Lonchura striata: one gene and its partners. The protein of the gene in region 1 purifies or fractionates together with the protein of each later gene. This does not show direct contact. Links are inferred from orthologs where the notes say so. Each region holds a gene or a part of one and is shown on either strand. Other genes may lie near its edges. The genes, in order: EZH2, CTNNB1, YBX1 and CUL4B.

Region 1 (7,365 bases):
TTCTTTGAGGGAAATTGGTCCATACATACCAGTAAGATATTAATGTAAAACATTTGAAAACATAGCTAATCTCAAAGTGGCTAGTTGCAAAACATAGTCATTAATTTCTTGTTAAAAGTTAACACAAACTCCCTGCTTTTTTTATAATAATGATACAAGAGGCCAATACTTTAAAAGGGTCTCTGATATGCCTTTTTATGATATGCCACTTAATATTCTGATTTCTGTGTATTCATTGCCGTGCATAAGAGATAAATGCTATTACAGATTTAGACTGTACTTACTTTAGATTTTAGACTGTAGTTACATTTCTACATATGTAAACATTTTGTAAAATCTCATCAAATTCACATGGACCAAAATGCAGAATTTCAGACACACTACAAGCTAGGGTCTCTGTAAAAGTACAGGGTTAGGAAAACACCAAGAAACAAAGATCACGCTCCTAAACGCTCTACGGGATGAAATACTACTTGCAGTGCTACCGGCTTTGATTGTAGGGGTAGGTGTAACCAGGACAGGGTTACACCTACCCCTCCATCCTCCTTTCCTCCCTTCCAGCGAGCTCGGGAGCTGGAGCACGAGCAGGCTGAACCTCTGGAGGCTGTGTGACCGATCCGTGGAGCCAGCAGCCCGCGCCACGGAGAGAGCCAGCCCAAAGCTGCACGCAGCTTTGTTGCGCTGCCATTCCGGAGCACAAAGGAAAGCGACGCTGCCATCAGCAAGTCACCAGCTTATCTACAAGAATTACAGATGCAGCTACCGGCGTCTCTGCTCCGGGCTGCCAGTGCTGGGGGCAGCCTTGCTGCGCCTCTCCTGGAAAAAAACGGGTGGGCGAGGGGAAAACTGGCCAACATCTCTCGTTATTCCAGGCCGAGGTAGTTCCCAGACAGGTCTGGCTTGGTCCCCCAAGCCTGACGGGAAGAAATACCATATGATTCTAACTACAAGGAAATCTTGGGATAATAGTGCATAAAGAATATCCTATGCTTTAGAAATAACACCTTCTTTCAGATATTAAAAATATCTAAAAGAAACCACTTAACTGTTAATTTTGCTTTGCAGCAGAATTTTGTTTGCCCCTTCTTTTTCCTGGACTCAAATACCACTCCTTAAAGGGTGAAAGAAGCACATAAGGATCCCCCCATGGAAGCAATCATACCCTGATGCTGTCAAACAATTATTTTTATGTCTAATTGATGCTGGTGATCTAGCACTGACAAATCCTTATTCTACATAGTCATACATGCAATATGAATGTACATGTTACATTCATATGCTGGAAACATAGAAAATGCTCTTCTACAGTGTGTTAGCTATAAAAAAAGGGCAAATGCTTTCAACAGTTCCAGAAGGGTCTAAAACTGATACTTTTTTCTTGAGCCTGATTTTATTTAATTGTCATGTAACATGTGTATATTTCTTCAATGTTAGCCACTTTTCTCAAAAGCACTGTACCATGCTGCCACCAGAATTCACTCCTTTGAGAAAGGCTCCTCAAAATACCAGGTTTTGTAATTATTTCAAAAATTGTTGTGCTATTTTTACCTAAAGATCCAATTGGAATGTCTCTGCATAATACAGATCCTTGTTCAAATAGTTGCTTTTTAATCACAGAAATACAGCAGAAACAGAAAACCATTTGGGTGGTTTATTCTGTGAAAACAGAAAGTCTGTATGGAGCTTGTTGCAACATTAAACTCCTGTGTAGAGAATCAAACTGTTACCAAAATTCTCCAGGAGGTTTGAGGCAGCCTGAACTACGGATCAGGAAATCAGCACCTCATAGAATTTCTTGACAGGAGTTCATTGTTTTAAGAGCCTAGAATGGAGCCTTGGTGTAGAGATTGTTTTGTACAGTGCAAAGAAGAAACAGTAACTCAGTTCAAAACATGTACAGTTTTCTAGTAAGCATCACTTTCAGGTACAGCAGATGAATAATCTTCTGTACAAGAGAGGAAAAGGATGTGATCAGTGCTGAGGTTAGTTCACAGGGTAGGTTCTATAATGCAGATCTTTCCACCTTGTGGCTAAGCGTATCTGCTGCATTAAGTTACCTCACCCTTATCTAGCAATTATTACTTTTCTTGTTGACCAAAACCAGATCTCATGAAGTGCATCTTGAAGGATCAAAATAAATTACAAAACCTAAATTGTGACGAGACTGGGTAGCCATTTTGGTGGTGGCAGCCATCTTGGGGTAGAATAGATTCACAATAGCTGAATTTCCAGAAATGACTAATATTTTTCAAATGTAATATTTTAAAGACAATCTTCCCAATTGTCAGCCACTCCACTAGAATGCGAGGAAGGTTATAGCTATCTACCACAATATGACATGTAACTGTAATAGGAAATAATTTCTGCTGCGTGCTTTTTGCTCGTAACTCATGAAACCCCAGAGATTAAAAAACAAAAACAAAAACAAAAACAAAAATCAAAAAAAGAGATACTATTAGAAACACCTTTTCAAGGCCATGAGGTAAATCAAGAACATCCAGAGTGGGAATGCCCACACTTGAGACCTCACTCCAAGTTTAATACACAATGAAGCCCGGAAATTTTAAGTACTTTCACATAGAAAGAGACTATAAAAACACACAAGTACATTGCCTTTAAGTAGGAGAACACCAAGCCTCACTTGGCACATAAGCCAACTGCATTAATTGGGGGATGAAGGTGCATTTGTGATTTATTTCCCTGCAAGAACTTTTTATCACTTAGGACCTCATTACAGTGGCCACTGGTCATTTTTTGAACTTTGACCCTGTAGAAGCACTAAGGTAGCGCTAGGAAGCACAAGTTAGAGGGAAGCTGATATTTGGTGAGGAAGGATGACGGAAACAACCATGTATCGATTGCTCCAGCGCACATCGGAAGTAGCACTCGATGTGGGACGCATGGGAAAGTGATCTGGTCACAAGGGAGGTGAAGTGTATCATTAGAAAACTTATCTTGGCAATTTTATTTTTCTCTGCTGAAGCAGAGTAAAGGCTGGAGCGACCAGAGAGCAGGACGACGGCAGAGTAAAAAGGTGCACGAACCGTCAAGTTTTAAATACAACCTCGGCAACAAGATTGATGAGCGCGGCTCGTGGATTAGAAACGAGGGAAAACAGCAGCAGCCTTAGAGGCTGGAGACAGCACGTAGCGAGCAACAGGATGCGAGCCTGATGCGGAGAGAGCACTTTGCTGCGGCTGCTGCGATTTATGACATCCCCCCACGACAGGGGGAAGCCGCGCTGGATGCGGAGCAGCGAGGGAGAGGAAGCCGCCGGCGCGATGCGCTGAAGGAGGGCTGGCGGCGGTGAAGTTTGGGCAAGCAAAGGTCAAAGAGGCGGACGCGAAGCAGCAGCGCTGCAAAGTGACTCAGCCGGCCGAGACATCCGCCGGGGAGCGGCGGGGCTGCCCCGCCAGCGTGGGCTGTCCCCAGCCTCCAGGGCTGATACATCCTCGTTTTCCCTACGTGTCACGTCTGTGAGACACGCAAGCCCACGGCATGATCTGGCGATGTGGGCGCGTTTGTGATTTATTTCCTCCGTGAGAGACTTTTCTTAGTCAGAACCCCCTTACAGTGGCCGCTGCTCACTTCTGCCCCTGAAGATGCGCTGAGGTAGCCACAAGGAAGAGGAGAGGTGATATTTGGTAAGGAAGGATGACGGGACTTGTGGAAGCAAGGGTACGGCTCCAGTGTGTCTCGGAAGTAGCACTCGATGCGGGGCGCATCGGAAAGGGATGCGGTCGCAAGGGACGGGCTAAGTACCCGCTAGCAAAACTTATCTTGGCAATTTTATTTTTCCCTGCTGAAGACGGAGGAAGGCCGGAGTGACCTGCCGCGGCTGAGCTCCGGCGCCGGGGGCGCAACAGGCGGAGCGGCGGCGGGACGGAGGGGCCGCTCCGGACATTCCCGCCCCCGGGACCGTTACGGCCGTTACGCCGCTCCCGCTCTCGGACCGATTCAAACTCGGCAGCGGCGCCGAGCGGGAGCGGGAGCGCGGCCCCTCCCGGTGCCCGCCAATCCTCTCGCCCGCCTCCCTCCCCTTTCCCCTCCCTCTGCCCCTTCTCCACGTGAGGCGGCCGCGGAGTTCCGAGCGGCCCCGGCGCGGCGCGGCCCCGGGCCCGGCCCCGCCGCGCGGCGCGGGGGGCGGGGGGCGGCGGGAGCGGGGGGAGCGCGAGCCCCCCGTCCCCCCGCGCGGGCAGCGCGAGAACAAAGAGTTCTCCCCACCCCTCCCTGCCCCCCCCGCACGTGGGGAGCGAGGCCGCGCCCCGCGCCCCGCCCGCCGCCGCGCCCGATTGGCCCGGCGGGGCCCCGGCCGCGGCCGCCCGTCCAATGGAGGCGGCGCTCGGCGCTCGCCAATGAGCGCGATGGCGATTGGGCCGGCGTGTTTGGCGCTCGGTCCGGGAGGGTGAATCCGGCAGCCGGAGGCGGAGGGAGGCAGAGCGGGAGCGCCGAGCGGAGCTGGCGGCGGCACCGGCGGGAGCGGCGGCGGCGCGGAGCCGGGGCGGCGGGGGGGCGGGTGAGTGAGCGGGCGGGCGAGCGACACCTCGCGGGCTCGAGGCGGCGGCGGCGCCGGGAGCGGCTATTTATACCCGGGTCCTTTGTCATGGGGGAGGGGAGGAGAGGAGGGGAGGGGGCGGCAGGGAGGAAGGGGAGGATGGGGGCAGCGGCGGCGGCGGCTCACGGGGAGCAGCCGCGTCCCCTTCCCGCGGGGAGCCGGCGGGCAGACACGCGGGCTCCCGGCCGGTGACAGCTGGAGGGGGGAGACATGGAGTCTGGAGTGCCCTTTGTCTAAGTTGGCTCCGTCCAGCCCGGCCGGCGGCTCCGGTCCCCGCCCGGCGGGGCGCACGCCCGGGCTGGGGGCGAGCTCGCCGTCACTCCTTCGAAGGGCGGGGGCGGCGGGAGGCAGAGCGGGGGGCAGACCCGGCGATTCCCTTCCCCTCCTCTCCGCTCCAGCCGGCGGCACGCGGCGGTGGCCCCGGCGCGGGCAGAGGGAGGTGTGCGTGCGTGTCGAGCCCGAAAGCCGTGCGCCCGAAAGCCGTGTGCCCGCCGTGGGCAGCGCGGCACGCAGCTCGTCCCTCTCTCCCGGGAGCCGGGACAGTCCGCCCGGGCTCCCGGAAGCCGGGGCCGGCCGGGCGGGGAGGCTGAGCGCGCCCGGGCCGCCCGCCCGCGGGACGGCGGGGCTGCGCTGGGGGTCCCGCCTCGGCTTTGGGGCGCTCCGGGCTCAGGGAGAGAGCTCGGGAGGGGCCGGGGGGGAGCTCGGTCTGGCGGCTGCTCCGGCGAACTTCCTAATCGTGGAGATCACCGTGCGATCCCGATCTTCCAGAGCGCCGGGAGAAAGTTCATAAATAGCTGAAAATTCCGGGGTTTTGGGTCTCATATCGCCAAGCACGGCGATACGGAGCACTGTTTAAAGGTAGGGTGTCTGGGGAGGTGTGAAGGAGAGTGCTGGGCTGAGCCGTCCGTGAGCAACAAATGTGTGGTTGGATAAAGAAATCGGTGTGTTGTGGCATCATGCACATGTATTTAACATTACCAGGTCTTCGTGGTGATTCCAAAATTGTTATTCATACACTAAAGAAAAGCAACGCGTGCACAGATGTGCGGCAGGAATGGGACAACAAACTTGTACATTATTCGAGATACTTTCTAACTTACAAAGCACCATACTGATTTTATTTGAGCAAGAGAAAAGTTTTTTAAATTTCTAAAGCTGGAAGTTCAGATTCTTATTCTCTCTGATGAGAAGCACGTAACAGTTTGGAGAAGGTAATTTAATTTTAGCAGGATAGGTTTGTCTTTTCTTAAGTCTAGCAACTCTACTTTCAGCTATTGTGAGTTTGGTTCTTACTAATACAGATTTCAGCAAAGAGTTTTTGCCAGCACGTTTAGTGTGATCTTCACATCTAGGTGGGGATTCTTCTCAAAGATAGGCTAATATTTTTTGGGGGGGGTTGGCACATTCAGATTCTTTATGCAATTTATAAAAATTTAAAGGTAATTCCTTGTTTGTTCCCAGTGTCTATATCAAATTGAGAGTCCTGGGAATGTTTATTTGTGGTAACAATCAAGTATCTGCAGAAGGATGGGTATTACTTGTACATAGTGTACAATAACTAGGCTCACTAGTGATTATTAAAATGTGACTATTTGAAATGTACTAAGTCTTTCAGAAAATGCCCTTTCAGTATTTTAGGAGATGTGACTCAAAAGTTTTCTGTGATGTGTTGAATGATTTTAAGACCTAGTACTTTTACAAAGTACTAAATAAAAACGTCACATTTCTTGTTCTGGAGTTTCCTTTGCAAGAAGCAAAAAGGAAAAATATTTTTTTCCTTCCTCCGCCTCCATGAGAAATTAAAGTAACAATTAAAGCTAAACAACCTGTGCAGAAATCTGTGACAGTATAATGTTCCATGAGATGCCAACTGCTATTCTTGTCTGGAACTTTGGAAGGATTCAAGACTTTAATTTAGGAAAAAAATTGGGAAGAAATTTAGAGTTCTTTCATAGATTTTTTTAATATGTAATTTCACCTTTAAAAGTGGCAGACGCTGAAACTCTGCACCTTCAAAAAGTCATAAAATGTCACCGTTCAGTTTAAAATGAGCTGAAGTGGTGGTGTGTGAGCTTAGACCGGAGACCTGAAATTCAAGCTCAGCGTTCCCCCCCACCCCGCTGTGTTTTTTTCCTTTCTTGCTAAAACTGCCAACAAGCTAAAATATGGTGATTTCTTTGAAGACATGCTTTCAAACTGGTTTTTGTTTGTTCTGTAACATTGCAACCTTCATAAGTGAAATGTAAATATTCCCGTGCTACTTCTTACCTGCAAAGAAACTTTGGCTTAGGGAGAAGGGAATTTTTATAGTGCATTATTGAATGCATGAGCTGTGTTAGATATAGAGAGACTGCAAGCCACTTTCTGTAAAGAAGCTTATGTCAGAATAAGCTACATCTAGAATCTGGTGCAGGCCAACAGTGCTCCCAGGAAAGTTGGTGCACTCTAAAATTCCTCTTGCAATTAATCAAAAGAAGTGCTCTGTCACCATTCACAAAACTGTTCAGTTTCTGTGCCTGTATAGATTATGGATGTGTTTTAGTAAGTTCTCAGCTGTAATGATAAAACTGAGTAACAATTTTAGATGAAGGTTCTATATTCATGTGATTGAACAGTGAGAGTTATTTCTTAAAATGGCTGCAGCACTGACAGAAGGCACATATAATAAATGCCTACTTTACATTGTGTTTGAGCAAAAGTGCTGTGGAAAAACTTTAGTGTTGGCTGTAATCTGGAAGTTCTGTAATTCTACTGTTAGTACTTACAGATGGATCTTAGCTGATTTGAGGAAAAGTATCTGTGAAGTTTTG
Region 2 (6,938 bases), about 4.4 Mb from region 1:
TATGTTGGCAAGTCTAGCCAATTCAATTGGTGCTTAACTGGAAAATCAGAAATATTGCCCTTTCAGGAAAATAATTTTATATAAAGAAACAAGAAGAATTACACACAATACTTACTGCCAAGGAGTTTACCATTTCTGGGTTCCCACCCAGTCAGCCAGCAAAGCACTGGGCTCAGAATTTGCAGGTGCATGTTCTGAGGACACAGAAGCAAGACACAGCTGCCTGCAGTTTCTCACAGGTTTTACCAGGCTTTGTCAAGTAAGATGTTCAAGATAGGTAAGGTCAGTCCCGATTTTCCTGCCATGGTATGCAGGCTACCACAGTCACAGAACAAGTTTTGCTGCAGGCAACTGCATGATCACCACAACCCCAGCATTACCAGTTTAACTTTGAATTAAGGTAAGTGATTTTGATTACCGATGTATTTGCACACCAGTCTGCCTACTAGACAATACTCTACAGAAACATCCTTATCCAAGAGTTTCAGACAGCACACTCAGACTTCAATTTCTGAGACAGAAGCCTCCAGCAGCCATATTTCCTGCTCTATTCTTTCCACTTCCCTTTCCACTCCTGAAAACACTGCAAAATCAGAACACCACTAGTATTAACCTCTTGCCTTAACATCCCCAAAAACTCAGAACTCTTCAGAACATGGTATTTCAGGATGCTAATCCAGATGTAGAGTCACTACAGATGGACAGATGTTTCAGAAAAAAATAATTTCGTCTGAAGGGCAACCAGGTTTCACAGCCAAGGTTTGGTAAGCTACTTACTGACACATCACAGTCAGAGCAAAATGCTGGTGTCCAGAGTAGACATACACCATGCAAAGAGCCCATTCTATTTATAGCTTAGGCAAGAAAAACGAAGCTTGGTTTGATAAGGCTGTAACACAGAATTTGAAGAACTGATTTTTCCAATCAAGCTTTACTTTGCATTAAATCCTTGCTCCTGGAAGCTATCGTGCATGGCATTGTCCTTTCCAACATGGTGTTTGTACTTGTCTCCTAGACTTTGTGGAAATGATCAGCCATACAGACCAAACATTCCCCTGGATATCAGTTTACACCTAAATAGAAAATATCTGAACTAACAGACAAACAAATATGACATTTATTTAGAACAGCCTCAGAACAATGAGACATTCAGTATAATTTTGAACTGAACAGTTGAATTTAGAGAGCCTCAAACTCTTGCCTGAATACCTAAGCAGCCTCATTTGCAACAGTACCAGCCATTAGACAACGACACAGCAGTCACATACCTGCAGCTGTCAGCACCTTTTTATCAAAAGTGCAAGATCAACATTAGGTTCCTGGACTGTTACGTATTGAAATTCACATTATAACTTGGGCCAATACACACCACTAAGTTTTGCCGCTTAGACTTTTTTCTTGGAGCCTCGCAGCAGTATCTTTTTCTCATTTAGAATCAAAATCATAACTAGGAAGTTGCTGACTGGTGTGTCCGAACTTAGATCAAGAAAACCCTGACACTCTTGCAACTAATTTTCTCGTCTTTGCTTTACTGTAGTCTCAGTACATAAAGATCCTGTTTTACTAAAACCCCTCCTTGATTTCCGTCCGTCGACCTCAGCATACCAGCCCAGCCTCTTTCCATTCACCACTTGCATACTTTGGGGGATGGGAGGACCACAGATGTCTGGAATATACAGAGTGTCAGAACAATGGCTGCTCCATGAGAAAGAGATCAAGAAGTAGCTGATTACAAAGATCAACACTGCTATTCCTAAAGTCACAAGTAAGTTGCTCGTGGTACCTTCACACAGTCTGTCCTTTCTTTCCAGTTAGGATAATTTTCAGAGGTTTTTGGAAAGAGACACAAAAAGAAACGACCCAACATCCTACATCGAGTTTTAACTAGGGAAAAATGTAAGGTTTTGCTACATTTAAGAAAACTTGCTGCTCTAGGAGCAGCTAATCATGCACAAAAGAGACGAACTAAGCTTTGTTAAAAAAAAAAAAAGAACAAACACCAAAAAACAAACTAAACCAACAACAAACCACAACACCCCAGGAGACCCTGTTCCTAGAGAAAGAAGCGCCCTAGACAATTCTGGGAGTAACCGCGAGTTGATCTCCACAGCTCGGGAGCGCGGTACTTCGGGAAGCTGGAGCCGCCGTGGTCCCCCAGCCGGCCACGGGAAGCAGCGGGCGCTTCCCCTCGCAGCGTGGGAGCCCCAACACCGCCCGCAGCCCAGGTCGTTCCCTGCAATACCCTGGTAAGGTGGGTGTTAAAAAACTTAATTTGATTGCTCCCAGCTCCGGGAAAGCTTCATTTCGGTGACACCCAGAAGCAGCAGCACAGCCTCTCCGGCAAATATGCAACGCCACTAAAAGCGAAACCCCACAAGGCAACAGATTAGTTATCTCCCGCTGACTGCAGTGACCGTGATTAATTATATTCCGTACAAATAAACCCGTACCCTGCTCTCTTCCCCCTCCTATCGCCAAAGGGGATCTGATACCCAACAGCGAGTTAGTAGTCCCCTAAAAAGGGAGGGGGAAGAACCTCTAAAATAATAATAAAAAAGGGCCATTAAAGTACTCCGGACGCTGCTGCAGCCGAGAGCAGAGGCGGGCGCATGGGCTCGCCTTCTCCCGCCCGGAGCAGCCACCCCCTCGCCCCAGGACGAGCTTCCCAAGAGACTCCTCGGGAGCCGCAGCTGCCGCTCCTGCAGCCACGCAGCTGTCCGGACCTCCCAAAAACAAGAGCCCTCTCTCTCTTCCTTTCCTGCCCCCCCACCTCTCTCCCACCCCCGCTCCCCCCTCCCCCAGCCCCGTCCTTCCCGCTGGGCACTCCCTGGACCCCCTGACGGCCACGGGGGTGCCCGGCCCGGGTTTGCCCGAGTTCCCGCCGGAGAAAGCGGCACTAACGTCGGAGGAAGGGAGAGCTCAGGGTCCCTCCAGGCTCCGGCGGCGGCGGCGGCTGCTGCTGCTGCCCGGGCGATCCTGGTCCGGTCCGTCTTTCCTTCCTCGTCCCCCGCCTCCTCCTCGCTCACGGCGGTGCCCCCGCCGCTGGCTCCGGGTGGCGACCGTACGGGGCGGCGGTGTTCGTGTCCCCCGAGCGCCGCCGCCGCTGCTCCCAGCGCCGAACCGAGCGAGAGGCTTAAAATGGCGTCGCGCACAAGGAGGTTCTTATAGCGAGCGGCGGGCCCGGCTGTGTATCCTGCCGCCGCGGCCGGGCCCCGCGCGCGGCATTCCATAGGCGCCCGGCGCTCAGGGCAGGCAGAGGGAGGAGGAGAAATAGTGCCCGGCTCCCAGGGCGGAGGGAGACAGGGAGCGGGGAAGCGGCGGAATGGGGGAAGGCCGGGCCAGGCGGCGCTGGGCAGGGCTGGGCAGGGCTGGCCGGGGCAGGGGGAGCGCGGCGGAGACACCTTATTCCGGAGGTGGGAAAGAAGGATCCTAGTTCCCGGCTTGGGAACGAAGTTGCTGCTGCCCTGAGGGGTGTGGAGGCGGCGGGGGAGGGGATACGACTGCGGGGATCAACCCGGGGTCCTGCTTTGGGAAGGGGAGCGGTGGGGGTGGGGGGCAAAAGGCGCGTGTCACTCCCTCTCTCCTACTCCTTTCCAAACCCCCCGTTTAATCTGGAGTTTCGTTGCCTGGGGTTTTAATTTTTTTTTTTCTTTTTTTCTTTTTTTTTTTTTTTTTTTTTTTTTAAGTGCACGGCACCAACTGTAGCGAAACTCCGTCTTCCCAGACGCCCGCGCCGCCACGTCCGGGGGATCTCGGGCTGCCGCGGGAAGTCGGCCCCGGCTGGGACGGGGCGGCCGCCGAGCCCGGCCCGCGGCTCGGCCCGGCAAGGCGGCGGAAACGCGCTCCCGCTCTGCCCTTGTAAATATTTGTCAGGAAGCAGTTGCCAAAGAAAGTATCTCGTTATGCAATTTTTTTTTTTTTTTTTTAAGGGAGAAGCGAACTTCCCTTCTTCACCCCCCTCCACACACACACACCTCCTCCTCCCAGCCCTCCCCTCGCTCCTTTAGCGATTCGTAAAAAACAGGAAAATACGAATTGCACAAGGTTTTTTCGCGGCGTGTGAAGGCACGTCCGCGGCGGCCTCTTCTCGGCGTGATCGGGCTTGCACAGCAGAATGTTTTACAGACTTTTTGCGTGCATCGTCTTGCAGTGGCAAAGTCTGTGTTTAACATACCAGGAGGGAAAAATACATTCACACCTCTCTCCACATGAAACAAGGACCGAATATACAACGTGGTTATGGGAAACATCCATTGCCAGAGCCAAAGATGTATATTATTTTGTTCCCCCCGCAGAATAAATTTGCTTTGGCACGGGCTGATGTGGGAGATTGAATTCTTTTTTTCCTTCTTCCAGTCTCGTCCCCCACCAGCCCCCAGTTTGTGCAGTTTTTGCAGCAGGGAGATGCGCGGTTCACATGGGGACTACCTTTATGCTTGTTTTTTCCCACTGATAATCCAGTTTTAAACAGGCTCTTAAGTTTCTAGTTAGAAAGTTGCAATTAAAGATTTGGTTTTTTTCCCCCATTGATTTATTCAGTCAGATGTAGAGTTACTCTAAGGGAACCTCTTTCACAGTGCTGCTTGATTTTCACATAAGCTGCTTTCTTTTGAATTTGGAGCTTTTTAAAACAGGGTATTTATCCTGGGCTGGAGGTTTGTTGGCAGGATAATGTAAGGCTTGCTGCATACAAGAGACAAGGTGGAACTGGCATGGGTGACAAGGGGGCCACATCCAGTGAGGCAAGTGCCGGAGAAGTGTTCCAAGGGTGGGTTAGCTGTTACTACTCCTATGGCATTGGAAAGGCAGTGGTGATAAAAAAAATCCTATTTTCCTCCCATTACCCCTGCCACTGCAAGGCATAGCAATCATTCACCCACCAGCCTCCCTCTGCTATGGGCAACCTTTAGTGCCCACTAGTAAGGAAAAGAAATGCTACTTGGACAACCCTGAAGTTGGAGAATTGAGAAATGCAGCTTTCCTGTTTTCTCCTGGGACAGTTGCCCGTTCTGACAATACTGGTCAAAAGAGGGGCAAGAATGAGGGTGACTGTTGGCAAGAGCTGGCAAAGAAAATTCTGCCAGATCAGGCCAGTGGACCGTGAGTGTTCATCATCTTCCTGGGGAGTTATTTGGTGCAGCTATGAGCAGAAGGACCTTGTTCTTGACACCAGAATTTTTATCCCAATTTAAGATAAGAGCCAGAGAAAGTATTATTGAAGATTGTCAAGCAATAAAAAAAGAGAAAAGGGTGTGGAGGGAAGAGTTAATTTCTTTATCCACCTTCCTTTCTCAGCTGCCTTCTTCTACAACCTTCAGAAAATCTGCTCTGCCTCGGTTTCACCCTCTGTAAAACGGGAATAGTAATACTGACAAACCCCTCCTTTTAGATCCCTGGATCAAAGGTACTATATAAGTTCAAAGTGCTGTTTCTATAGGGCATTATTGCCAAATTCGCTATAAGCAATTCCATTGGGTACTTGATAACAACAGTAGAATCAGTCAAATGCCCTTGATGTATTGCATGGTCCCAGATACCTTTCAGAGGCTCTTTGTGTGCCATCCCACCCCCCGAGGTCTGCAGGGATGGGGCTTTTGGAGCCTGGATTTTGCAGGAGCAGGAAGGGTGCAGTCCATGTCTCTGCTTCTGGCCCCTGAACTGTGGACCGCTTTTCTTTTTGACCTGACGAGGACAACTGGAACTAGACCTTTTAAAAACAGGTTTAAAACATACAACTTATATATATATATTTAAATAATATATTGGCCTTTAGTACCTAATGATTAACTCTTGTTGATTTTTGGATGCTTTACTTCTGCATGGGTTGTAATTTTAATCTCTATTTGTTTCGCTGCAAAGTGGTTAGGATACTTTTGCATCTAGTCACATTGCTTATAGAAATTTGGTTCATATCAGCTTTGCAACTTTTAGCTATTAGGTAGCTAAACATTTTCTAAAATTGTACCTTTAAAAAATTCCCAAACCCCTACTTCAGAGAAACAATCTTAATAGCCGAATTGAAATTACAATTAACTTGTCGCTGTTCTCTCAATTATAAAAATGTTTCTAAAATACATTTTATATTCCTAATTTTTCTAAAATGCAGTGTGTAAAGTTCCACTATCAAAACAAGAACAGTAAATGTTATATGGAATATTACAGTACAGGGCTCCATCAGTAAATTCACAAACGGTCCAGTTATTCTTCCTCTTCTACTTTTTTTTCCTTTCTTCCCCAAGAAGCACTGAGTGTGTCTGTGCAGCTTCAGAAGTTTCCTCTGAGCTCTTTTATACTTTAATAGGTTTGTTTTGGTGGCAGTTTACTAGAAGAGTATGCTGCAGACATATTTTTTTTTAAGAGGTCAAGCAGTCTCCTAACATGTCCATTGTGTATCCTTGCAGTAAGAAATCCTCAGTGCAAAGGAGAGCTTCATGGTTGAATTTTAAAAGATAATGATTTAAATCTTTTTGTTAACTTTTTTTTCATCCTTAGCACTGCTTTTGTAGACTCCACTTTTAGTACAGTAAAAAGTAGGAAGCCCCTTAATTAAAATAAGAAACAGTTAAATGTAAACTTAGATGGTCACCTTTCCTTCTAAAATCCTGGTGTTTAACTTTGTTTATAAGGAACATAGTAACAAATGAGTAGCCATGGTACTAATATGAGGACAAAGCAAAATTACCAATTACAGAAATATCTAGGGCTCTGGGCCTGAATCTGTGATTTCCCATATGGATCTTAAAAATGTATGCATAATTGGCTTCTAACTGTGCATGCTCTAGGAACATATTCAAGAATCAACTACAGATATTTTTTTTCAGACACTGACTAAATATATATTCACTTGTCAGCAAAAAGATACATAATTCTGATCCTCTTAACCAGAAAGAAAAAAATAAAAGGAGTCTTCTTCCAGCAAAGTAAGGTTGTAGTGTATT
Region 3 (7,793 bases), on another chromosome or scaffold:
GGAGAACTTCCAAAAAACTACAAAAATCAGACTATCCATGGGTGGGACAGGCAGGGATCAATAAAAGGAGAAGAGAAAGGGAGGACTTTTGAGCCTCCTTGCTCAGTACCGCTGTAGGACTGACACTACTGAAGGACCAAGGAGTTACCATTTTGCATAGTCTTACCTTGACTTGAAAAAAGTACCACTCCCTCTATCTGAAAAGAGATGTTTTCACTATTTACTGTTACTTAGGTTTCATATTGGTTAAACCAATAGTCTCAGGCTAACATACAGTAAGTGTTCTGTCTCCATTTGTTAGCTCAATTTACTGTAAAATCTACAGGTATTTAAATCTGTCTAGATTTCAGTGTGTTGGGCTGCAGCTTGTCAAAAATCTGCTGTATTAGCCTTTTGGTTGCTGATTTTTTCCAAATTTCAGGAGGCAGTTTGGACTCACAATTTTATACTCACAATACTCACAATTTTTGACCTTCCATTAAATTATATCCAAAGGCAACTGGAATTGCAAAAATGTTCCCTCTTTTGTAATAAAGTCTTAGAGACCTGCAGCACTTCAAACTCTTGGGAGCTCTTGCTATTTGATGAAGTTTCAACAGGGAATGTAATCATTCTTCCATTCCCCTGGTTCTTCTGGTGGCATTTACAGGCTTTTGAAAAAAGTCTGCTAGTAAGGCTGTCTCTTTTCTTGCAGAGCTGTGTTGAAGGGTCAGGTCTCCTTTAGATTTGTACTCCATCCCAGACTTTCTTACCATTTTAGTTTGGAGTACTGTGTCCCTGGCAATCCCCAGCTTGAGCCTGGAAGCTTCACATTCATAGGTGCAATGCTGGTGCCAGCTTACTTATTTCCCTAACAGGTCTTAGGAACAGCCTTGCTGCACTCTCATGTCTCTCATCTGACTGGGAACAAGAACAGCTTTTGCATTGCCTGACGTCAGAAAGCTATATCAGCTACTTGTCAAGATCCTTGAAAATCAGCTGGGAGAAACAGGCACTCTTGCTTTTAACTTCAGAAGTAGATGCAGTTGCCTGACAGGCAGATCCAGGAGGATTCCTGAGTTCTCTGGATGATGAAAGCTGGTGAAGCTTGTGTGTGTAGCAACTGGCATGCATTTAAAATTGCTGTGTGGCCCCCAGTATTACTGCACAGCCTGGCTGTTGTAGGATCTGTTGGGAATGGTTGTCCAGCATTTAGACTTACATGTTTCTTCTTCCTTTCAGTGTTCCTTTACTGGTGATTAGACCTGTGCTGGCTCCAAGCAATTCCAGTTCCAGCCAGCTCACCCACTGCCCAGACTTCTCCACAGGCCAGATCCATCCTCTTGATGTTCTCCTGAAATTATTTAATAATGGGCTTTTTTTTTTTTTTTTTTTTTTTTTTTTTTTTTTTTTTTTACATTTTGAAATGTAATTAAAAAATTTTTAAACATGTGCAGTGCACATCAATTAGCATTAGTGGGAATGGATTCTTCTCTAGGTGAAAAGGGCTGTAACATCTTCAGCAACATGCATTGTCCCTGGCCAGTTAGTCAGGAACATTTACTGATTGGTATTGAAAGAAGGGGTGAAAGGAGCTTGGTAGAGCTGTGCTGCACCAGCTCTTTCACTCGGCAGGTAACTACAACTGCCTGGCTGGCAGAAAGGTTGTTGGCACATCTTGGGAATCTCCAGAACTGAGGAATTGGTATAGCACAGATTCCATCACCGTGAGTGCTACACTCTGAGGAGAGTTCTGATGTAAACAGGTCTTTCAGTCATCGAGCTGTTATGTGCCACATATGTTGGAGGAGGGGTTCACCTGAGTACTTACAAGGGTGTTGGAGCAGGCTTGGGAAAAACAGAATGGTGATGCTATAGGAATGAAATTGGGGCTGCTTGTCCTGTTTAGTGAGGAGAGTGCAGCTGAGGCTGCCTTTCTTCCAGAACAGGGCTGGGAGCTCACCCTCCTGGCAGGGGACAAGCCAGCACCCTACACAGTGCTGGGTTCCAGCAGGAACTTCTCATCCAGCTGTTTAAAGGTAAAGGACCTGATGAAAGTTAGGACAGAGTCTGTTCTGTCACATGCAGGTGATTCATCCCATGTGGAAAGATCCCAACTGTGCCTGGGCAGTGGGTATAGGGTGCACTCTCTGCCTGACCTGAGCCTTGCCCAGCACTGATAGGCTGGAGGAAGTTCCCACAGGCTTAGCTGTGCTCTTTTCTCTCATGGCTCTTTGAAATCCTAGGAGAAGGCTCTGGCTGTCAGGATTCCTACGTCCTCATTCCTAGAATTGCACAGCAGCTGAGAACACTCACTTCTCTCCAGCCTGAGGCATGTCACTTTGTACCTGCAGAACATCAGGTGATAAAAGAAGCACAAGCACCCCAGTCCTTTCTTCCTCAGCCCCACACATGCTTTGCAGAGGGCTCTCCTGTGAGAGGAGGGTTGAAGATTCTCAACAGGCTGGCTCAGGTGCCTCAAGGAGCTATGCCTGGCAGTGCTGTGCTGAGGTTTGCACTTCTGGCTGCTGGTATTCACCATTCAAAAAATTCACCATTTTTTCACCAGGGAAACAAGTTTATTTCTGGTCCAGGATTAGCAGCACTTTTTCAGCCTGATGTATTTATACCACTGCCACCACCTGGCCTCACTTCCTGCATAAAGGGGTCACAGAGCTTCCCCAGATTAATTAAGAGTGGCAAATCCATTACTACCTCTTTGTTATTACAATGGCTAATTACATCCCATTATATTTCCCTTAAACGTGGAATGTTACCTGCTGGCTGAAAGTCTTCTCAAAAACCACATTTTTTGTTTTAATTCCTCCATGATGGTGTCACCCTTGTGTTGTATGTAGCAAATCCTGGAATGTCCTGTAGAGGAGATGATGGAACTCCTGTCAGCTTCCTTCAACTGTGGATGCTGCAGCTGGAGATGGTATTTCTGGTGGCCTGTGCATTTCCTTGAGGGTCTGAGTTGCCTTTGGATTTCACAGTGTTACTCCACAAAGACATCATTGGGGTCCACAGTTTTGGCTGTAGGTGCATGGCTCTGACATTCCCACACATTTCCTCCCTGGAGTTTTCTTCCTCATGGGTGGCTGCCTGGTGTATTCCCTAATTTGCATTCTATAGTAAGATTATTTTTCAGGTGACTCACTGAAGTGGTTTTGGTTTGTTAATTTAAGATTTCTTTAATTTTGAGATTTTTTAATTAATGTGTTGAAGAGTGTGATGAGTTTTAGTGTTGGCTAATCACTTATGTATTTATTTCTTCTTGTGAGATAGGAAGATAGGATTAGGAGAATGGTAAAGTAGGCTTAAAATTTTAAAAGGTATAAAGAAAATTTTATTAACACTAATTAAAAGAAAAAGATAGTAAGAATTAAAATCTTTAGAATATTTTTTCTTTATTTTATAACTTTTTTTAAACTGATTATGTAAAGAAATGAAATTTAAAATTTTTAGTTCATTTAATCCTTTTTAAATAGTTTTTTTTTTTTTCTCATACAAAACTATGGCAGTCACTAAGCAGCATCCAATTTTGACATCATTCTAGCTTTTTTATCCAGGTCATCATCCTGGTGCTGATCCTGTGGGACTGTGTTATTGTTTTCAAGCCCTTCCCTTCATTAACTGAGTTGAAGATCAGGTGGAAGAGTTCCCAAGGGAGCAGGATGAGACCAATGTTCCTAGTGGGTTGATGTGGTGGGTTGAGCTTGGCCTCATTCGAGTCCTTCACCTGGCCAGGGTGGAATGTAGGGAACTGGGATAGTGAACTGGATGGTGATTTGTGTGCAGTGCTGAAAGGGCTGATCCCAAGGGGATACGTGTTGCTTGCAAAAATGGTGGAGTGGTGGGTCATCTCCCAGAGACCTTCTGAGTGGTTGCTGATGACCTTTCTCTCCTCCCATGTCAGACGAATGACATGACCAAAGCAAGAAATGTGGCCACCAACCACATTCTTCAACTAAGGAAAATTAACTTGTTGGACAAGGACAGGGGTTTCCTCGGGACCTTCCCTTTGGGGAACCCTGCAAGAGATGTCGGGTACCTCCAGGCCGCTGTAAGGTGAATCCATAGAGGTAAGGAGGTGCTGAGAGATGGTGGCTGGAGAAAGACTCTAGCAGGGTAAAGGACCCAGCACTAATGCTTTTCCGACAGCCTGAGTGGGTAGAAGGGCTCAGGGTGAGAAGCTGCTCCCGCCCTTCCAGGGAGGGAAGGATGCGATGTCTAGGGAAAAGCTGATTCCCCGCGGGTCAGGTCAGTGCTGTTACTGCACATCCGGACATGGACTGGGGAGCTCTGACAGCTCCAAATCCGTCGTTTCCCACTGGTATTTAACGCTCCCGGGCCCTTCTGGCAATCATTAACGGGAGAGGGCGCCCCCGGCGCGCTAGGCCGGGAGCCGCCCGCAAGATCGCTCTGCCCTGGGTCTTCCAGCGAGCGGAAGCGGGGTCGGGGACAGCGCCGGACAGAAGCCACCGGCGCATGGTCGCGCGCACTTCCCCGATCGTGCCCGGTGGGGGCGGGAGCGGCGGCCGGAAGGGCCAATCAGGGGCGGGGGCGGGGACTCCGGGTCGCCCGGTGAGAAAAGCTGGCTTGGCACCCACGGGCGAAGCAACCAATGGCGCGCGCTCTTGGGGAAAGGCAGGTGTCGTCGCCAATAGGTTTTCGGTGGGGGGCGGTGGCGGGTTGGGGAAAGGCCAATGGGGTCGCTCTCCGTTTAACGGGCGGGCCGGATGGCGAATCGCGGCGCGTGCGGGCGGGGCGCGCGGGGTGACTAACCGGTGCGCGCCGCCATTGTGGCCAGTTCGATCGGTATCGGGAGCGGAGAGCGGAGCTCAGCGAGCCCGGAGCAGGGAGCAGCCCCCCCCCCGCCCCCACGGCCGGCCTCAGTCACCATCACACCGCGGGAGGCGGCGCAAACAGCAGTCACCACCACCGTCCGCACCGAACAGCCGCCGCCATGAGCAGCGAGGCCGAGACCCAGCCGCCCGCCGCCCCCGTCCCCCCGGCGGCCCCCGCCGCCCCCGCCGACTCCAAGCCAAACGGTGGGACCGGGAACGGGGGCAGCGGCCTGGCCTCGGCGGCACCTCCCGCTGGCGGGGACAAGAAGGTCATCGGTGAGGGCAGCTTGGGGTCCCGGGGTGGGGTGGGAAGCTCCGATCCCACTGCCTCTCTCCCTCCATGGCTGAGGTTGGCGCGCGCTCCCTTCCGCCCGGAGGGGCTGTGCGCGCCCCCGGCTCGTGTCCTCGCTCGCGCGGCGGCCGTTAGTCGCCCCCCTCTCCCTCCCCGCCCCGCGCGCCGCCGGCCCCGCGTGCCGGGTGGGGGCGGGGCAGCGCAAGATGTCCGCCACGCGGGGCCTTTGTGCGCGCGCCCTGCCACGTGCCCCTGACGTGCCGCTCCCTCCCCTCCTTCCCCTCTTCACTCTGCCCCTTCCCGCAGCAACGAAGGTTTTGGGAACAGTGAAATGGTTCAACGTGAGGAACGGTTACGGCTTCATCAACAGGTGAGTGCCCAGACGCGGCGGGCCTTGTCACGGGGAGCCCCGGGGAGGGGGGCGCGGCACTTGTGTCCCGCGGGTGACAGGCGGGGGCGGGGAGTGGTGGTGCCTTTGCCGCCTCTCGCCCTTCTTGGTAGAAGGAGCTGGTACGATTCGCCCTTTCTCCACCCCGGGGTTTCTGTCCTGCTTGGGGCTTCCTTGGGGTTGGCTTTTGAGTCCTTTAACCCTGGGCAAGAGCTGCGCTCTCGAAGCGAGTCTGTTTCCATGGCGATGTGTCTTACATTATGGTCTATCCCTTTATGGTGTTTTGGGGTTTTTTTCCCCCCTTAAAGATATAAAAGTGCACTGGCTGTCAGCACACATTTAAACTCCTGCGTAAAGTTCAGTCAATGCAAGTAAAAATTGCTTTTAGCACTTGGTAGTTTAAACACACTCTAATGAGGACACTGTCAGCATATGGCAAAATGAGCAAAAGGAGCATAGTTCACACATTCTAGTGCCACACTCAAGTGCACAGACTGGTCTCATGAAACAAGTGCCTAGAAGATTCTTTTTGTGACAGTAGTTGATGTGAAAGACTAATTTGAACGCTTTGAGAAGTATGTAGGTACCTGAAGTAGGTCTGTCAAGGAGAGGAAGTGCTCTGCAAACAAGTTTTTAGAAAATGGGCAATTCTTGGCTCCATTGGCTGGAGGGGGGCTCCCTGGACTGTTGCTAGAGCTGTTTCCCTTATTTTGTGGTACTTAAACTCCCCAGTCTCAGAATGAGGCTGTGTACTGGGAAATCCCCTTTAGGCCAGCAAGTATAGTGTTATTATTGGAACTTTTGTTTATGTTTGGTTTAAACACTGCCTTTTGGAACTGCCTGTTACTTTATGAACTAGTCTAAATTGTTAAACTCCTGAATTAGTTCTGTGTCTGCAGCTTTACAAACCTGCCTCCCATTCTGTCCAGTTTGCATTGTTCATCATGCCATGCTTCAGTTCCCAGTGTTGTGGAGTCACCAGTGCTGAGAGCTGTTGTCTCTGGCCTTGGAAATGCCTCCCAAGTCCCAGCCACAAACCCCACCTCGAGGGAAGGCTTTTCCTGTTCCCTCAGCAGTGAAAATGTTCTGTGGTGTCAGTCAAGCAAGGAAGCAGCAGCAGCAGCTAGTTGAGACATCCAAGTAGCTTCCCCAGTCATTAATTTGGCAGCTGTTTAATCCCTGAGGTTGCCATTTGTAATGAGAAACCCAGCATGATCTCATATTATCAAGAGATTAGAGGCTGGTAACTGAAGGGGAGGACATTTCCTCAGCTCTGAAATCTTTACCTGGCTGCAGGGAAGCTGTGCAGGAGCTCCTGCCCTTGCATGGCTTTGCTTTAGCCAGGTCTGCTTTCAAATAAAATGAGACTATGGAACTGAAATGAGCTTTGAGGTATGTGCATGCTCACTTCAGGTATTTTCTGAGTCTTTTTAATGTTAGAAGTGTGATTCTGTTACAAAATAGGAAGGAGTTTGAATTCTGGGTCTTTGATGGTTGTTTCTCATGTTTGCCAAAATAACAAGTTGATGTGCCAAATCCGCTGGCTTGGTCTGTACCATAACTGGAGTTGCACTGTCTGGCATGGTATTTGGTGCCCTGCTGGACTTGGCATCTTCTTTGTCTGCTTATCTATTTCCCTTTCTCTAATATATTTTAGTGGATAAAAGATGTGAGTGGAAGAGTGGCATAGTGCAAAGATCAGTTAAATTGTTTGGCCTTTAGAATGGGTGTTCCTCTTGTACCCTTCCAAATTTTCTTTGAAAAAGTGATGGTCCTGTTGTTCCATCATCCACACGGCAGCATGCTTGCTGCTTCCAGATGTGCTTGCTGGAAAACAGCATTGGGAGTGATGTGGCCAATGGCGTGGGGCTGTAAAATGGCTTGATTCAGTGAGCCCTGTGTGATCTCGTCAGTTGTCGAGCCAAAACTCTGATGTCCTCTTGAATGGAAACTGCTTTGCAAATGGATTTTAAAAATAAGTATCCAGTCTGGTTGTCCAAAATTCAACCTGGGCAAAAGTACAAGGTATCCACATTTGTGGATGAGCACTTCCTACCACTGTTTTTTTAGCTGATGATGAAGGAAGGTGCTCAGCATTTTTACTAGAAACATGCTACTATTCTCTTGCGAAGGTTTTCAGCATTTTGGACATTGTGTTTTGAAGAAGAGTCTTTCAGCTTTGGCTTTGCAAGGGCTTCTGAGTGCTGCATTCTTGGGGCTTTGGAGATGATATCAGAATGGCTCTGCTCGGCTGCCTTTTCCCAGTAACCTTTGAGGTCTGTAG
Region 4 (7,471 bases), on another chromosome or scaffold:
CCCTCTATTTAAAAAAAGGGAAAATAATCAAGATAATACATGGAAGCCTGAAAATACTACAAAATGTTACTGACGGGAATCCAAACAATTTTGTGCTTCCATGTCCATCAAGCTGAATGCTTCCCTTCAACAACAGGCTGGTCCTTGGAGAGACCCTGAATACACTGCACACTAGCTACTAGGAAGATTTTTAAGTTCCTCAAGCATCCTACTAGCATGTGCCTTTAAAGCAAAATGAGCACAAGCCAACTTTCTGGTTTGGCCATAACACGGACTATCTATTAAGAGATGATGGATGCCCATCAAAAGTGCTAGGTTTATCTACTGTACAAAGTAAACAAAGAAAGCCATCCTAGCACCTTGAAAGCAAAGTTTAAGAGAAGAGATACTTACCATCTTACTATTTTAACTGGATCTTTCTTTGGCATGATTTGGTTTAGCCATGGTTCAATAACAGGAAACTGGTCTATCAGTTGATTCTTGATACCTTTAATAACTGAAGTCTTCAGCTGGATACAGTTTGATACATTCTCCTTTTCATCAAATCTGTCAAATGAAAGCATTTTAGAAATGCATAATTTTCTGCATAAAATATGCATTTTTCAGCAGCTGTCTTCAGAAATGCTTATAAATTCACTATAAAAATCTAATAGCAGACTGACTGTCCAACTTTCAAATGCAGAAATTTCATGAAGCTTAAATTTGCCCCCTTGGAACACTTGGGCTGGGGGAAGGCGGGGCAGCCTGTCTTCATCCCTAAACTTTTTGTACGGCCACAGCACGTGTTTAGTCTCACACATTAAGCCCGGCACACAGCGCTATTTTATTCAACTCCGAGAGTACTCTGCTGGTACCACAAACACCCACAGCCCCGTTCCGATGCGAATCCTTCACGTCCACCGCAGCGCCGGGCCCTGCCCTGCCCTGCCCTTCCCTTCCCTTCCCTTCCCTTCCCTTCCCTTCCCTTCCCTTCCCCCGCGCCTCCCGCGGCCCCAGCCCGGCCGCACTCACTTCTTGAACATCCTGCGGGCGGGGGGCGCCGGGCGGGCGGGCGGGCCGGGGCCGGCGGGCACCCACAGCCTGGGCGCTGCTCACACGCGGCTCCGGCCGGGCCGTCCCTCCCTCCAAGCCCGCCGGAAGCGCCGCTCCATCCCCGCGGAACGGGCGGGGCCAGCCGGCAGCGCGGCGCGGCCCCGGCGCGGGCGCGGCCCCGGCGCGGGCGCGGCCCCGGTACCGGGGCCGCGCCCGCGCCGGGGCCGCGCCCGCGCCGGGGCCGCGCCCGCCCGCTGCCCCTTGCACAACTGCGTTGTTATTAACCTCCCACAGCAGCCCGGCGCCTGCTACTTACAGGCACGGCGCTGGTTTCCCAGGTAATGTATCGCTTTTTGGTAAAATAAGAAGAGCAAAGTGCTACTAGCTGCTGGCATTATTTAAACACAAAATACGTTTATCTGGAAAAAAACACAGCCATCTTCAAACTAGCAGAGCAGAAGCTATCGTCACGCCAGCTTCAGAGTAGGACACGAGATACTATCAACAGTATTCTGGGGGGAAAAATAGAGTTCTTGTCAAACAGCAGATACTGTTCCCGGCTAGGGAATCGGTCCCAGGTGACAGTACCACATCTTCAAAGTGGGGAGGAAGCAGAAACCTGGCTTCCAGAGAAGATCTCAGCTGCCAGGCAGACAGATGGATCTGGTGGAGTGTATCAGAATCAAATTAGGTTTTGTTTGGTGATGGCCGCCGCAATTGTGAATAGAAAACCATAGCAGACAGAATTTACCACACTGCTTTTTCACTCTCTGAGGAGCAGACCTGTGTTTGTTCTTTAGGCTGGTGGCTGCTACATAAACAGACATAGAGGTGATCACCCAGTTTCTTTTTAGTGTCATGGAAATGCCAACACTAGGATAAAGGAGAGGGAGGAGAGGATATAAAACATCAGGTTATCATTATGCTAACAACCGAGTTTCTTTTTTCCATACAAAACAATTTCATCACCTTTGATACTATAACAGGTAATTAAAACCTAATACTTAAAAGTTATATTTGCCAAAGTAAAATCAAGCATTATACATGGTATCATTCAAATAGTGCAGTACAGCTTTGGGAACAAACACACTAATAACTTTTTGAAAGTATAGGAATGAACTATGGCATTACATAAACAGTCAAGCACTTCACTTATGAATGCCACCTTCACCTACTTTGTAGCATCCCCAAAAATACTGAGTGATGATCAAGAATTCAGTTTTAACTGAACCACAGTGACACTGCTCATCCCCAGGATTAGAAAATGAGAATGGGAGTTAATCACACTGAAAAACTATTCCATACGTTATGGTGATCCTCAGAAAAACTTTCATCAAATAGTACTTAGCCATGCAAACAACCACATTTTTTAAAACTGTAATGAAAAATTCATCATATTCTACCTCAAGTGATAGAAACACAAGGTAAACTTCTACTCTTCTTGAGAAACACAGCACATCTCACTGAAGTCACCTGAGCCACCAGTTTCATGTCTGCCTAAAACAGCAAGATTAGGCCCAAATTTTCAAAAAATGCCTTTGTCAAGAGGAAGGTCTTACCTCTACACTTTTACTACCTTCAAGCAGTTGGACCATTGGTTCCCTTCAGGCTGAGCTAACCTTTAGTCTGGTCTCAACTTCTCCACCTTCTCTTCCAAATGCTTTTTGCTGGGGTAGGTAACTGCTCAGTCAATCTAAACATGCCTGTACAGAGGACTTCTGAAGAAGGCTCCAAGGACCTAGGCTGGACTTCATTAACACAGCTCTCAGTGTTACTGTTCAGCCTCAACACAAAAAAGCTGGAGACTTTCATCTGGTTGCAGAGTCACTTAAAAGTACCAAAATTTTAAAAGCATGGTACCTGGACAAGACTGACAAAGCAGGGGGAACATCCAGCAACTGTTCTGACAGAAACCACCCCTCAGGATCATGTGCTAAATAGAAAGGACTTAGGATTTCACTCCCCATAAGTTTTGGTAGAAAAGGGGGAAAATCCATCATACTTCTTCCTGGATCCCCAGAACTTTACCTTGCCTCCACCTGCTCTCTCACATCCAAAAGCTGAATATTCTAACTGATGGGACAAAGTCATTGACTGTCCCACCCCTGAATGATTGCATAGACAGCAACTTCAGGAAAAGGGACTCTTACTCATGTCTTTTTTATAAATCAAATCCTTTCAATGAACCAAGAATGTGTAGAAATTTGGCATCTCTTACATCTCTAGACCTCTTATCTATTTTGGCTTAAGTGAACATGACAGTTACTGGGGAACAGAGGAAAATTTTACAGCATACTCACATAACTTATTTACTTGGCAAACCTGTTTTTTTCTATTATATCCGACTTGGAATGCAATTTAGTAGCCTTGGGAACCATACAATCTCTTCTAAAGCCAGTCAAAGCCAGACTGAAGCTTTGTTTTGCTGGCGTTTTTTCAACTGGAAAAAGTGCTTTTCTACACATCACTAGCATGACATTCCAGGCCTCAGGAGTTGTCTGACAGTGACTCAGACATAAAACATACTCCAGAAGAGCTTTAGTGACATTACATTCCATGTACCAGTTTCTGTCAAGAGAATTAAGTCTGTGTTTTCCTATCCAACATAAAAGTGCCACTAGATTTTCCCCTGAGGAGCTGCCTGGTGTACAAGGTATGCTCTGGTGAAGGCCGTGGAGAATCTCCTGGAACAAAACCTCATCACTTGGCTTGTTGCTTTTTCCACAGCCATTTCTCAGCAGTGGTTGAACCCTAACAACATTCCTCAGGAGTTTACAGTCCCTTTGGCAACAGAACCACCAACATCAAAAAGGAGACTCCAAAGGCCCAGGACTTCTGTTCTTGTTTCTAAAAGTTACAAAATAAACAAAAGAAAAGCAAACCATAGACTGTAGCCCAGTGCAAGTAGTATGTATTAAAATCGTATCAAACAGCTGACGCTAAATTATTTATAAATAAGTGTAACAAAAAGCATTTCCAGACCAAGCTAACAGGCTTAGCTAACAGGCCCGGGCCTAGGCCGCAGGCTCCGGCGGAACGAGCAGACGGCGGCCGAGCCTGCGGCGGGGCCGGGCCGGGTGAGGCCGCCTGAGGCCGGGCGGGCCCCCGGAACGGGCCCCGGAGCGGAACGCCCCGGAGCGGCACTCCCCGGTCCCGCACTCCCGCCCCAGGGGCGGCCCCAGGCCGGCGCGGGGGGCACCGAGCCACGATCAGTTCCGGCGGGGCCGAGGGCGCCGGCGGGGCCGGAGGCGGGTCCCGGGGCGGGTCCCGGGGCGGGTCCCGGGGCGGGTCCCGGGGCGGGTCCCGGGGCGGGTCCCGGGGCGGGTCCCGGGGCGGGTCCCGGGGCGGGTCTCGGGGCGGATCCCGGGGCGGGTCCCGGGGCGGGTCCCGGGGCGGTCCCAGCGCTTCCCGGCCGCGCTTCCGTGCGCCGCGCCCCGTCATGCACGGCGGGCGGATGCGCCGCCATTTTTGCGCTCCCTCTGCCGTGCAGTGACAATAACAACCCGGCCGGGCCGTCCCCCCTCAGCGAGCGCGGGCACAGCGGAGAGGGGGGAGCGGGGCCGAGCGGGGCCGAGCGGAGCGGCCGCGGGCGGAGCGGGAGCGGGTGGGGCCAGGGGCTGGAGCCGAGGCCGGAGGGAGCCGCGCTCAGCCCTCCCCGCTGCTGCTCGGCGGAGACGAGGCGGCCGGAGCAGGAGGGGAGCGCAAGGAGAAGCCGGGGAAGCGGGCAGCCGTGGGGAATTCTGCAGCTGGAGAGGAGAACCGAAAGGAACTGGTGGGCGGCAGGAACGGAAACGCTGCGCTGGGAAAGGAGTAAAAGCAGAAAGGCAGCGCCAAACTACGGGAAGAACCAAAGTAATAAAGAAAAGGGAAGAGGAGATAAAGTGATTCCTCCGATAAAGAAAAACGCGAAGGAGAAGAAATACGGAAGGACTTCACTGATGAGAAGGAGGAGTTGAAAGACCCCCCACCCCCCCCCCGAGACAGTAAACAGAGACTGACTCTAAAACTCTCCCCCTCTTCTTTGTCACACCACAAGGATTTGATGCCCCTCAGCCTGTTCACTTCTGTGTGTTCATGTTTCCCACAGGTTTCTCTTCCCCCAACCCCCCAGCTGCAGCCCAGGAGGTCAGACCTGCCACTGATGGTAACACTAGCAGCAGCTCCTCCTGCAAGAAGAGAAAGCTAAATAACAGCAGCAACAGTAATTCCGAAAAAGAAGAATTTGATTCCATTTCCTCCTGCACCTCTTCTCCTTCCAAAAACACCTCCTCATCATCTTCCTCTGTCATCACCACTTCCTCGTGCTCCTCCTCAGGGGTTGCTTCCTCCAACCATCACCTCCAGAAGAAGCTGCGCTTTGAGGACTCCGTGGATTTTATTGGACTCGATGTGAAGATGGCTGAAGAGTCTTCTTCCTCCTCCTCCTCTCCTGCTGCCTCTTCTCAGCAGCAGCACCAGCAACAGCTTAAAAATAAAAGCCTTTTAATTTCGTCAGTGGCTGTGGGGCACCATGCAAATGGCCTGACCAAAGCTGCCTCCTCTACTGTTTCCAGTTTCGCCAACAGTAAACCTGGCTCTGCCAAGAAATTAGTGATCAAGAACTTTAAAGGTAACAGGCCATAATTTGTCACAACCTGTGGGGAGCTGACACTCGACTTCGCGATTTGTTTTCAGCCTGAAAGCCCAAATAGCCCCAGGTTTTGCAGGAATTGCTTTTCTGTGCTGAACATTTCCATATTTATGTAAAGGGGAATCATGATTTCTGATGTGTGCTTGCCTGGTCATGTACACATCCTGAGCTACACTTTGCTGCTTGGAATTATTTTTCAGACTCCATTCTTTCTCTTGAGAAGGCCTTCATTTGTATGTTAGGTGTAAGGTTTTACTGCCTAAGTGTTAAATTGCCTTTGTTTTAACATTTGATACCGTTGTTCTAGTAATTCTGATTCAGAGCTTAGTGTATATTTTAGCCCAGTTTATGATAAGCCTTTGCATAGAATGTGGGGGTTTTTTTAATTGGCCTTGAATCTGCATGTCTTATCTCTATCCTTGTTGTCTGTTTATAGGATAATCTTCATGTGCTTAGCTTTAAATGTTGAAACTAAGGTGATTATCGGGTTATTATGGTGGATTTCCTTTCAGGTTTCCCCACTTGCTTTTAAAGTAGATAGTTCAGATTTTTGCAGTTTTTTCCTTTTAATGGAAAGCTGTCATTTTTAATTGTAGTATCTTTCCTCTGTCTTAGCTTACTCTTACTTTAGAAGTTTACTTTATTTTATAAATTCTTTCCAAACACACATTTGAGATTTTTTAGTAGTGTTAGTAGAGACCAAGGTGAAGTAGAGAAATTAAACTTTTCTGATGTGATGCTGCTTTATTTTCTAGTAAACAAAAATACAAATAGGTAGGCAGAAAGCTTAGCTAAAATGCTGCCATTTTTTCCCTATGAAGATGAGGCGATCGTGAGCTTTTTTTATTTCCTGCTTCTTGCTGGCTTCCAAAATAGTCCACTACCTTGCTTTCCTGGCTTGTTTGCATTTTGGTTTGTGGAGGGGTAAAAGATATTACCGAAATTAAAATTAATTTTGAAATACACAATTGACACAAATCTTCTGTAGACATGTTGCATTAGGTAAGGATTAGTAATGGTTTTGCAGGAATTCATGATCACACTGTAACTCTTTGCTTTAAGGTTCCAATTCTCAAAAATGTTCTCCACCCATCAAAGCATCATAATTTAATTTGACTGATTATTTTAAAATACCAAGCTATGATGCATTATAGGCTGCTCTTCAGTTCCTTGTGCACTGTAATCTTTAAGGGAAGTTAACTTCTCACTTTTAAAATACCTGTTAAATGTCACGGATTGCATGGTACTGTGATCATTGCTTCTGAATGGGTATTTGAACCACTTGCTTAAAAAGGATGTTTTGGTATTCTGACAGCTTTGCTTTTTATTTATCTCAGATGCTAAACTGAATAACATTATTAAGATATTTGCCTTCTCTTAGTGTGATAACAATGACATCCTTTACAACTTAAATAACTTCGTAAAATCCATAACCTTGGTGTTGATTGCTCAGAGCATAGTCAGGAGTTGTTAGTGAAAATAGGCAAGTCCATGGTTAGTTGTCTCTAGATCCAGATCAGGCAGCTAATGTTTGGGATATTGCCAGTATTGTACAAAAATGCTTGGAAGAACAAAATAATTACTTCTCTCTTTTAATTATTTCTATGGAATTCGTAAAGTTTTAAAATTTGTTTTTTACTTGTAGGTGTGTAAAAGTCAATTTTAATAGAGTATAAACTCTGGGCCAGTTTCACCTGTTGGTAGCATGGATGTGCATATGTCATCTTCCTTCTCAGACTTTCTTCTTCTGTCTTCTCCATTTAGGAATGTCCTTATTAGAACAAAAATGGTCACTTTGGGTAGTTACAA

What was found.
Region 2: the proteins of EZH2 (region 1) and CTNNB1 purify together in Homo sapiens (affinity purification with western blotting; 4 studies listed by BioGRID, with this or other methods). This does not show direct contact. The link is inferred for Lonchura striata from reciprocal best matches to the Homo sapiens genes EZH2 and CTNNB1.
Region 3: the proteins of EZH2 (region 1) and YBX1 purify together in Homo sapiens (affinity purification with mass spectrometry, with the first as the bait; 3 studies listed by BioGRID). This does not show direct contact. The link is inferred for Lonchura striata from reciprocal best matches to the Homo sapiens genes EZH2 and YBX1.
Region 4: the proteins of EZH2 (region 1) and CUL4B purify together in Homo sapiens (affinity purification with mass spectrometry; 4 studies listed by BioGRID and IntAct, with this or other methods). This does not show direct contact. The link is inferred for Lonchura striata from reciprocal best matches to the Homo sapiens genes EZH2 and CUL4B.

Annotation. Positions count from the first base shown.
Region 1 is NC_134603.1:107,631,277-107,638,641, reverse strand, and holds the start of EZH2 (histone-lysine N-methyltransferase EZH2), read left to right. Parts: upstream 1-4,356; 5' UTR 4,357-4,516; intron 4,517-7,365. UniProt on the Homo sapiens protein: Polycomb group (PcG) protein. Catalytic subunit of the PRC2/EED-EZH2 complex, which methylates 'Lys-9' (H3K9me) and 'Lys-27' (H3K27me) of histone H3, leading to transcriptional repression of the affected target gene.
Region 2 is NC_134603.1:112,027,356-112,034,293, reverse strand, and holds the start of CTNNB1 (catenin beta-1), read right to left. Parts: upstream 3,021-6,938; 5' UTR 2,902-3,020; intron 1-2,901. UniProt on the Homo sapiens protein: Key downstream component of the canonical Wnt signaling pathway.
Region 3 is NC_134626.1:8,504,108-8,511,900, reverse strand, and holds the start of YBX1 (Y-box-binding protein 1), read left to right. Parts: upstream 1-4,785; 5' UTR 4,786-4,948; coding exon 4,949-5,105; intron 5,106-5,427; coding exon 5,428-5,491; intron 5,492-7,793. UniProt on the Homo sapiens protein: DNA- and RNA-binding protein involved in various processes, such as translational repression, RNA stabilization, mRNA splicing, DNA repair and transcription regulation.
Region 4 is NC_134616.1:9,129,916-9,137,386, reverse strand, and holds the start of CUL4B (cullin-4B), read left to right. Parts: upstream 1-4,460; 5' UTR 4,461-5,106; coding exon 5,107-5,641; intron 5,642-7,471. Other genes in the region: MCTS1 (malignant T-cell-amplified sequence 1), read right to left, coding at 394-546, 1,012-1,022.